2 linked regions of the Coturnix japonica genome follow. The protein of the gene in region 1 purifies or fractionates together with the protein of each later gene. This does not show direct contact. Links are inferred from orthologs where the notes say so. Each region holds a gene or a part of one and is shown on either strand. Other genes may lie near its edges. The genes, in order: histone RNA hairpin-binding protein and MIF4GD.

Region 1 (4,330 bases):
ACTTGTCCAAGGCATCAAGAAAACTTGACTGTATACAGCATTACTGCAGTGAACTGGAGCATTACCTTGCCTTCACCAAAGCCTGTCAAGCGTATAGAAGTTTACTACAGTGGTTATGTATAGCAAGTTTGCTAGTTCCCAATGAAGAAAAGACTCAATATGTAGGGGAACATGTGCTGCTGCTTTAATAGGAGTGTATTAGGATTGGTGGCAGCTGCTGCTCAGTACTAAGAATGTCCTCCTGGCTGTGTGCTTGCCCAGACATAGGAAGAGGGTGAGGCCTGTGGTACTTACAAGTCAAATAGGTCAAGCTCCCACCATTGAGGGCTGAATGGAGGCTGCCTGCAGGTTGGTGAGGCTTGTTCTATTTCCTGCAGCAGCTGGGACTCATCTATATATGCTTATGTATAAGGTTCAGTGGAGTCCCAGTGCAAAGTAGCTCAGTCACATACCACAGCATGGCATGTGTATACAGGGAACAAATCTATACAGCACCTTCTGAAGCACTATTTAAGAGCACTGCTGATCCAGTCTGCATGCTTCCGTGTGTTTTATGATGATTATAAATACGAGAGTGGTTTTTGGTTTTGGTATATTGTCTTTGTGCAGAGGAATTAAAGTCTTTAACCTTTCAAAATGCTTCTTGGTCTGCTTGTTAATGCTTTGTTATAAAAGAATCACAGAATGACCCGGGTTGGAAGGGACCTCAAGGATCATGTAGTTCCAACCCCCCTGCCTGGCAGGGCCACCAAACATACACCTTTACTAGATCAGGTTGCCCAGGGCCCGTCCAACCTGGCCTTGAACACCTCCAAGGACGGGCATCCACAACCTCCCTGGGCAGCCTGTTCCAGGGCCTAAACCACTCTCCTAGTGAAGAACTTCCCCCTAAACATCCAACCTAAATCTTCCCTCTTTTAACTTAAAACCATTTCCCCGTGTCTGCTATTTTCAGCCCTTTCCAAGAGTTTACTCCCCTCCTGGAGTAAGTTCCCTTCAGGTATTGAAAGGCTTGCAATGAGGTCACCCCGCAACCTTCTCTTTCCAGGCTTGAACAAACCCAGCTCCCTCAGCCTGTCCCCATAGTTAAGCACTACGTGGGTCTGGTTGTCTTTCTATTTACTTCATGCTGTTTTGGGGTCGGTGGGTCCCTCAGCTCTGGCGCTGCCGTTGGTGGCTGCGGGCAGATGGAGCGCGCCAAAACGCTGAGCCGCGCTCCGATCTCCCGCCACAGCGGGGCCGGGCCGGGCCGAACCATCGCACTGGGCCGGGGGGGGGGGGGGATAAAGGGAGGAATTCGCGTCCCGTTGTCTCACGTGTCACGGTTCCGAGCGCGTCCCGAGGCGGATTGACCGGCCGTTACTCCGTGCTAAAGGAACGACTGGGCTGAAGAGTCTCCTCAGTGTCCGCTCTCCCCTCTCCTGTTTCTCTCCCCCCCCGCACCTGGCGCTGTGGTGCGGCCTGTCGGGGGCGGGGCCGGCCGGGCTGGCGGGAGATGCGAAGAGCCGGGCGGTGAGGCGGCAGTTCCGCACGGCATCCTCTGTCCGTCCGACCTTCCATCCGTCTGTCCGTCCTTCCATCCGTCTCTCCACCCTGAGGACCCCACACAATGTCCTTCCGCCACAGGAACCCCCACGACACGGCCAGGAGCAGGTAGGGCGGGCGGAGGGCTCGGAGCGCTGCCCCCGATCCCTGTGGGGCCGTGTTGCCCTCAGTGAGGGGCCGCCATGTTGCGCTCTGTGGGGCGGGCGGGTCGCTGAGGAAACGCTTCTCTTGTGGCAGCCCACAGCCGCCACCTCGATGGTCACAGGGAAGGAAACGAGGAGCGGACGGGAAGAGGAAGAAACAAAGCGATGGAGGCGAGGCGGTGTTCGGAGAGACGGAGCAAGGACCCTCGGACAGCAGGGCCGACAGGTGAGAGAAAGAGGCGGCGGTTGGAGGGACCCAGTTGTGCCTGGGGAGGTTCGGGTTGGAGCTCCGTGAGAGGAGGCTGTGAGAGGTGGCTCTGCTCCCAGGTAACAGCGGTTGGATGGGATTCCCTCCCGTCAAGGCCTCAGTTGATGGAGGCAGCAGCTCTGATGATTAGGAGGAGATATAAGAATCATAGAACGGCCTGGGTTGAAAAGGATCACAATAATCATCCAGTTCCAACCCCCTGCTGTGTGCAGGGTTACCAACCAGCAGACCAGGCTGCCCAGAGCCACATCCAACCTGACCTTGAATATCCCTTCCCAGTTTTGAATCTTTTGAACAGGCTATATTGAAGTTATTACTCCAATTATTATTAATGCTGACACTTCCATAGAATCACACAAGATCTTAACCATTGTGAGTTCTGTACCTGAAAGCATCAAACTGGCAAGTTGCAGATAGTGGGGAAAGGGTAAAATACAATAGAAGAACTTCACAGAATCACAGAATGAGGCCAGGTGGAAGGGACCTCAAGGCATCATGTAGTTCCAACCCCCCTGCCTGGCAGGCCACCAAACATACACCTCTTTACTAGATCAGGCTGCCCAGGGCCCGTCCAACCTGGTCTTGAACACTCCAAGGATGGGCATCCACAACCTCCCTGGGCAGCCTGTTCCAGGCCTACCACTCTCCTAGTGAAGAAACTTCCCCAACATCCAACCTAAATCTTCCCTTTTTCAACTTAAAACCATTTCCCCTAAACTTATTGTTTTATTCCTTTCAGTTTTACAACACCAGAAGGCCCTGGTCCCCTTTCCCGGTGTTTAGACTGGGCAACTGCAGTGGAAGAAGATGAGATGAGAACCAACGTTAACAAAGAAATTGCAAGGTACCCGTGGGGGCTTGAGATGAAGTGGGGAATGGAGGGGAAGTGGCTTCGCTATCCAGTCAGACTCAGATTGTGACTCAGTCTTAGTCTATGATAAAGACTGGAGTTCAGTCTTAGCCTTGGAGTTCTGCTTTTCAGACCAGCTTAACTCCTGCAGGAGTAACGTAGCACACTGGGGGCACGTATGTCTCTAAATCTCTCCCTTTTGGAAGAAACATATCCACATTCATTTCAATGTCCCTTCTTATTATTTACTGTTTTTCAGTATCTTCTCTGTTTAAAGATCTTTTTATAGTAGATTCAGGAAGAGGAAGTCCTTGGATGTGTTGTGTTCTTTAGTTCTTAGGGGAAAAGTGAAGCGTCTGCTTCACAGTGGAAAGTATTTACAGTGTATAGGTGGATTTCTTTAAGTCTGTTGCCTTGAGTTAAAACTCACTGAGCTGTCACAGTGCAGCCAAATCTGTTCTCTCTGTGTATGTTCTTAATATCGACTTGAACTCTTGCAGATACAGAAGAAAACTCCTGGTAAATGAGTTTTCAAGAGAAAGGAAGTCCTCTTCAGGAAGGTAAGTTTCTAGCTTAGCTGAAGAAAATCCTTGCAATGGATTGGATTTGACTTTTCAAACATGGTGTTGCTTTTGAGAAGCCCCAAGTTGAAGTAGTACATTTTAGCTCTCCCCCACATTTAAATTCATTCACATCTCAAGCATCCATTTGAAAACACTTCACGTGTTTCTTTTGACTCTTATATATCTGAGTTTGCTTTTTGGGTATCGCTCATTTTCTATTGCTCCCGAATTTATAACATTCTGTCCTTACAGTTCCGATTCAAAGGAATCCACTGTAACAGTAGAACTTGAGACGGATGAGGTGGTTTTGATGAGAAGACAAAAACAGATAAACTATGGGAAAAACACAATTGCCTATGACAGATACATCAAAGAAGTTCCTAGGTAAGATGCTTGAGCTTCTGGAAAACTAAATGTTCAAATGTAGGTCCCAACTTGTTCTTTCTAAGCACACGAACACACTAAACACACTGAAATAAAAGGCATTTACAAATTAAATCAGTTAAATGAAACAAGCTCTGAAATGGGTCTTGGATTTCTACGTTTCACAGCTACTCTGTGCATGAGCAGTTCCCCTTCAAGCTTTTTCATGCTGCAGAAATGAAAGTTCTTTTGGTTGTGCTGATCGACTTGAAGAACCGAAAGTGCTTTTTTTTTTTGCAGTCAGTTTTCTTGTTGGTAAAGTAAAAGGCAAAATAGAGTGTGGTCGTTCTGAAGTCTGGAACATATATTTGGAATATAGGAAACTGCACGCTTAAGTTTTTAGATCTAAGATTATCTCTTTTTTCCCCACTTGACCCAAAGAAAGAAAAACTAAGTGTTCATATGTGGATACCAGCCTTTCAGCAGAGTGCTACAATTGGGCAGTAGTTCTTATGGAATAGATTTCCTGGGTTGAATGGTTATAATGTGCCTTTCAAGTAGTTCTTATGGAATAGATTTCCTGGGTTGAATGGTTATA
Region 2 (4,312 bases), on another chromosome or scaffold:
GTTGTGCTAGTCGGAACAGACAGTCATAAACAGGGTTCACCAAAGCCATCATGGGCATGTTGTTCACCTGTAAGGAGGCAGGAGCTATTGTCAGCCTGGTGGCAGAAGGGGAAAAGCCTTCAGCTATTTTAAATCTTCCCTTGCCACAGGTTACATCAGGATTTCAAACTCCAAGTACAAAACAGTAGCTCAGACTTAGCAACTGGCCTCAAAGCCAACTCTGCCTCTTCAAGGCTGATGACCTGCTCAAATGTAGCAATAACCTGGGAGCATCCTCGCTCTGAGAGCTGGCTCCCACTGCTGAGCCATGGCCCTGGGGTGTCATAACACACATTCAGCGCTTCTACCCTGACCCTGGGCCCTTCTGGTACCTTAGCAGCAGCACCAGACGCTCCTGCTCTGGTTCCTTACCTTCAGGTAGTCAAAGATGTTGCAGATGAACGTGACGTAGCATATCCATGCCTGCAGTGACCGGTTGCGCAGATCCTCCCTGTCCTTGTACTCCTGCTGCAGCCGGTTCAGCAGGCTCCTCCGGAAGATGCTCTGTCCGACCTGTTTGCTCTCTGCCTAAGAGCCCACAAAAGCAGGATGGAAGGATGAAACTGGGGCAGAGAGGGGCAGGGGGGACTGGGATCTGGATGTTGCAGGACCATACTGATACCCTCCTGTGATGCCCAGAGACATAGAAAGGCTGCAGATATCTGCACCCACCAGCTGCACATCTGTGTCCTGCCAGTGCAGGGGCCAGTGGAAGAGTCGGAGTGCAGGGCTAGAAGAAGTCCCGGCCTAGCACAGCTTAGCAGCGTTTTCCTGGCAGACACAAATCTCTCTCACCTGGATGATGGTGTAGCAGATGCGCCCTGCTTCCTTGCTGAACACACAGTCTTTGAGGGACTGGTCAACTATAACATTGGCCACTTTGTCCAGGTCCACATTGCTGGGGTCTGTAGAGAGAAGAAACACTGTCAGGATCTAATATTTTTTGTGTCCTGCTTGTGCTAGGAAGCAGCCAAGGTTGGTATGGAACACAGTAAAACCATGTCATATGGTACCAAAACTCATGCTCACTCCCACACGGCCCCTTTTGCACGCCAGCTGCTTCGGAGATACCATCTCCAAGAACCACACAGACCTTCCAGGCTGGACTTACAGCCACGCAGATGGAAAAGTGATGGAGAAAAACATGGCAATGAAGGGAGGCAAGATTGATCTGAATCTGAAGTCCCAGCACTGCTTTGAAGTCGGGCTGGCAGCAGACAGACAAGCAAATTTCCATTGGGCTTTGAACTGAGACACCTGTAAGCAGGAGACACCGGGGGATGGGGTGCAGAAACAGCACAGGGAGAAGAGTGAGGGGCGAGATCTGAAGAGAGATCAGCTGGATGAGAACAGGAGAAGAAGGCATCCCAATCAGAGAAAAGCACTATGATGAGCATGGTCCTGAGAACCCGGATTGGAACAGCTACACCTTTCAGCAGCGAGGTGGAGGTGGGGGAGAAGAGGCGGGGAACAAAGAACTTCCTGAAGGGATTCAGTCTTGTAGAAACAGCATTTATGAAACAGCTTTTCTACACTTAGCAATTGGTGACAGCAGGAGGGGACAGGTATTCAGCCACATCAGTGAGCCAAGCTGAGTGCGGCAGAAAGGCCAGAAAAAGCCTGCTGACCTTTGAGTGCTGTTTTCAGCAGCTTCTGAGTCTCAGTGTCAAATGACTGTATTTTATACTCTTCTTTGCCTGTTTCCCCCATGACTGGCTTCCTCCAACAGCAAGAACCAGGGGAACAGATGTGCTAGCAGCAGCCCCTGTGAAAAGAGCAGACAGGGCTTAGTTGGCCAGAGAGCCCAGACCTCCACCAGCCACGTGGCAAATCCCATCCAGTCCGGGAGCCCAGACTTCAACCTTGACACCCTCCAGGTAGTAAGAAATATCCTGTTAATGCAGCATCCAGCTCGAGCCCTACATTTGGGCAAAGACCAATTCCCACATTTTTTTAAGCCTTGCTTCCTACTAGTTTACGACAAGGAACTTTTGGGCATCTTCAGAGCACTTTCGTTCTTCTGATGTGAAAATCAGTCTATTGATGTGCAGGTTTAAGCAGGACAGCACGCCAGAGCAAGCCCAAAAAGTAACTGTCTCCCTCAAAAGTCTTCCCTGTGGCTGCACCATGGGGAGGTACGAATGCAGGACACTCCATGCAGACACTCCCTTGTGCCTTTGAAACAGCAATTGAGATGATTTCACACAAACCTGGGGAGATTCAGAACCAACACCTAAACAATCCAATCCTCTCCTGCACCAGAGGATTCGACCCCCAAAACGCAGCAGAACACCGGAAAATGTTCAGCCAGATTCCACCAGGCTCCCATCTCCTCTTTTGCAGCGCTCTGCAGTACAGTGCTGCTGAATAATCTCTAGATTATTATGTTTTTGCTGGTTTGTGACACAGCAAAGATGGCAAGAGGGTGCACACAGCAGGGAGGAAGGGCTCTGACAGGCTTCCTCTGACACAGGACAATCTGCTGCAGAACGCGGGGCTGCTGGACCTGCAGCAAAACAGGGAGACGGCAATTGAACAAACTAGTTCTTCCAGCTCTCTGAAATTCCTCATCCGTTACTCACTGCTCTGTGCACACAGGTCAGCACTGCGATCTGCCGCTCGCTCTGCCCGCCTGGTGGCACCGTGTCTCCCAGTATCGGACCGAACCCACGCTGCGATGTCACCCAGCGCAGCCCCGATGTGCCAGGCCGGCACGTGCCGGGTGGGAACGACAGAGGAGCAGCGAACCTCCTCTCCTACCACCGAGCGTCCACCCGCGGCCGCCTGCGGGCACCGGGAGGGCACCAGGCACCACCCGGTCCCCTCGTCCCGCCGCCTCCCGGTCTCCGGACTCCCAACCCTGGCTCAGGCCCAGCGGCCCCGAGGGAAGATCGGGGCTGGGCGGTCGCAGGGAGCGGGGGGGGTTGTGGGACGGGGCACCGACCTGCCGGGCCGGCCCCGCTCCTCCAGCCGACACCGCGCCGGGCGGAGCGCGCAGCGCAGCGCCATGACCGAACCGACAGCGGCAGCGGCTTCCTCTGAGGTCATTTCCTCGACCGAGGCGGGGAAGGGCGGGGAGGGCGGCGCGGGGCCGGGCCGAGAGCGGCTGCAGCGCCGCCTGCGGCAGCACCACGGCGGGACGGGACGGGACCGGCACCGGCACCGCTCCGAGCCGGGACCACGAACATCCCAAACCGCCGCGGGGCGACGGCTGCGCTGAGCTCCGCCACGAGAGTCGGCGGGACGAGGCTGAGGGGCGCCATTATTCCCCGATCTCGTCAGGCTGAGCTACAGCGGAGCGGATCCAAGTCCCGGCTATAACGGAGCGGATCCAAGTCCCGGCTATAACGGAGCGGATCCAAGTCCCGGCTGTAGCGCTGCTTCCTGCCGGGTGTAGAAAGTAGCAGGGAAGTTCATGGAACAGGAGCTTCAAACACCTCGTGCTCCTCAGGAGCTCGCACTGAACGCAGCGTAACTCGCACTTCACGTTTTTTCTCCCGCTTGGAGCTGCTGCAGCTTTTACGAGGAGCAGCACGGGCAGAACGCTGCAAATACGAGCCGCAGGAAACGCAGCACGAGCAGCTCGTCACGTTGTCTGCAGCATCGCGGGGCTGAACACGAGGCCTGGGATCCTTCCCGTGGGTTTGTGGCTCAGGACGAGCCGTGACCGTCCCGTGCAGCTCCCAGGGATACACAGCGCAGCGCGTGGTGCGGCTCGAGCTGCTGATGGCTCCAGGAAGCAGCTCCAGTCCCGCAGGATCCACTGTGCGCACACAGGAGTGAAGGAGGAACGAGAAGCTGCAGCGACACGATCACAACAACGTATTTAATGCTCCGTCTTTATCAAGGCGGCCACGCGCTTTCAAGCACTTTGCACTCAGATGCTCAGATTACAGCAGCTGCAAAAGACCCACCCAGACAACAGATGGAATCACTGTTCTGCATCACAGTAACAGCTTAAATGCAAATTAAAAAGTCAACTTCAGAGCTAACTGTCAAACATCCATTTTAAAGATGCAGCTCTGGATGAGCATCTATCTATATATCTATAATGCCATCTAGGAACTCAAACACACAATCAGTGCTATTGGAAACAGCGCATTCATCACAGAATTTGTGTGTGCGGGTTCTCCCGTCTCAGGCAGGTTTGGTGGACCCCCATTACCACGGCGTGATTTGTGCAATCACAGAATCGGACCGTAATGATCACCTACTTTCACCACCCTGCCATGGAGCGGAGCTGCCTGCGCAAGAGAGAAAAGAACAGGCTGTG

Evidence for each region.
Region 2: the proteins of histone RNA hairpin-binding protein (region 1) and MIF4GD purify together in Homo sapiens (affinity purification with western blotting; 3 studies listed by BioGRID and IntAct, with this or other methods). This does not show direct contact. The link is inferred for Coturnix japonica from reciprocal best matches to the Homo sapiens genes SLBP and MIF4GD.

The regions. Positions count from the first base shown.
Region 1 is NC_029519.1:76,093,706-76,098,035, forward strand, and holds the start of histone RNA hairpin-binding protein, read left to right. Parts: upstream 1-1,310; 5' UTR 1,311-1,609; coding exon 1,610-1,653; intron 1,654-1,782; coding exon 1,783-1,914; intron 1,915-2,695; coding exon 2,696-2,800; intron 2,801-3,306; coding exon 3,307-3,366; intron 3,367-3,621; coding exon 3,622-3,753; intron 3,754-4,330. UniProt on the Homo sapiens protein: RNA-binding protein involved in the histone pre-mRNA processing.
Region 2 is NC_029533.1:9,386,496-9,390,807, forward strand, and holds the start of MIF4GD (MIF4G domain-containing protein), read right to left. Parts: upstream 3,086-4,312; 5' UTR 2,984-3,085; intron 2,734-2,983; exon of another isoform or gene 2,622-2,733; intron 1,805-2,621; 5' UTR 1,750-1,804; coding exon 1,668-1,749; intron 945-1,667; coding exon 835-944; intron 568-834; coding exon 412-567; intron 68-411; coding exon 1-67. UniProt on the Homo sapiens protein: Functions in replication-dependent translation of histone mRNAs which differ from other eukaryotic mRNAs in that they do not end with a poly-A tail but a stem-loop. May participate in circularizing those mRNAs specifically enhancing their translation.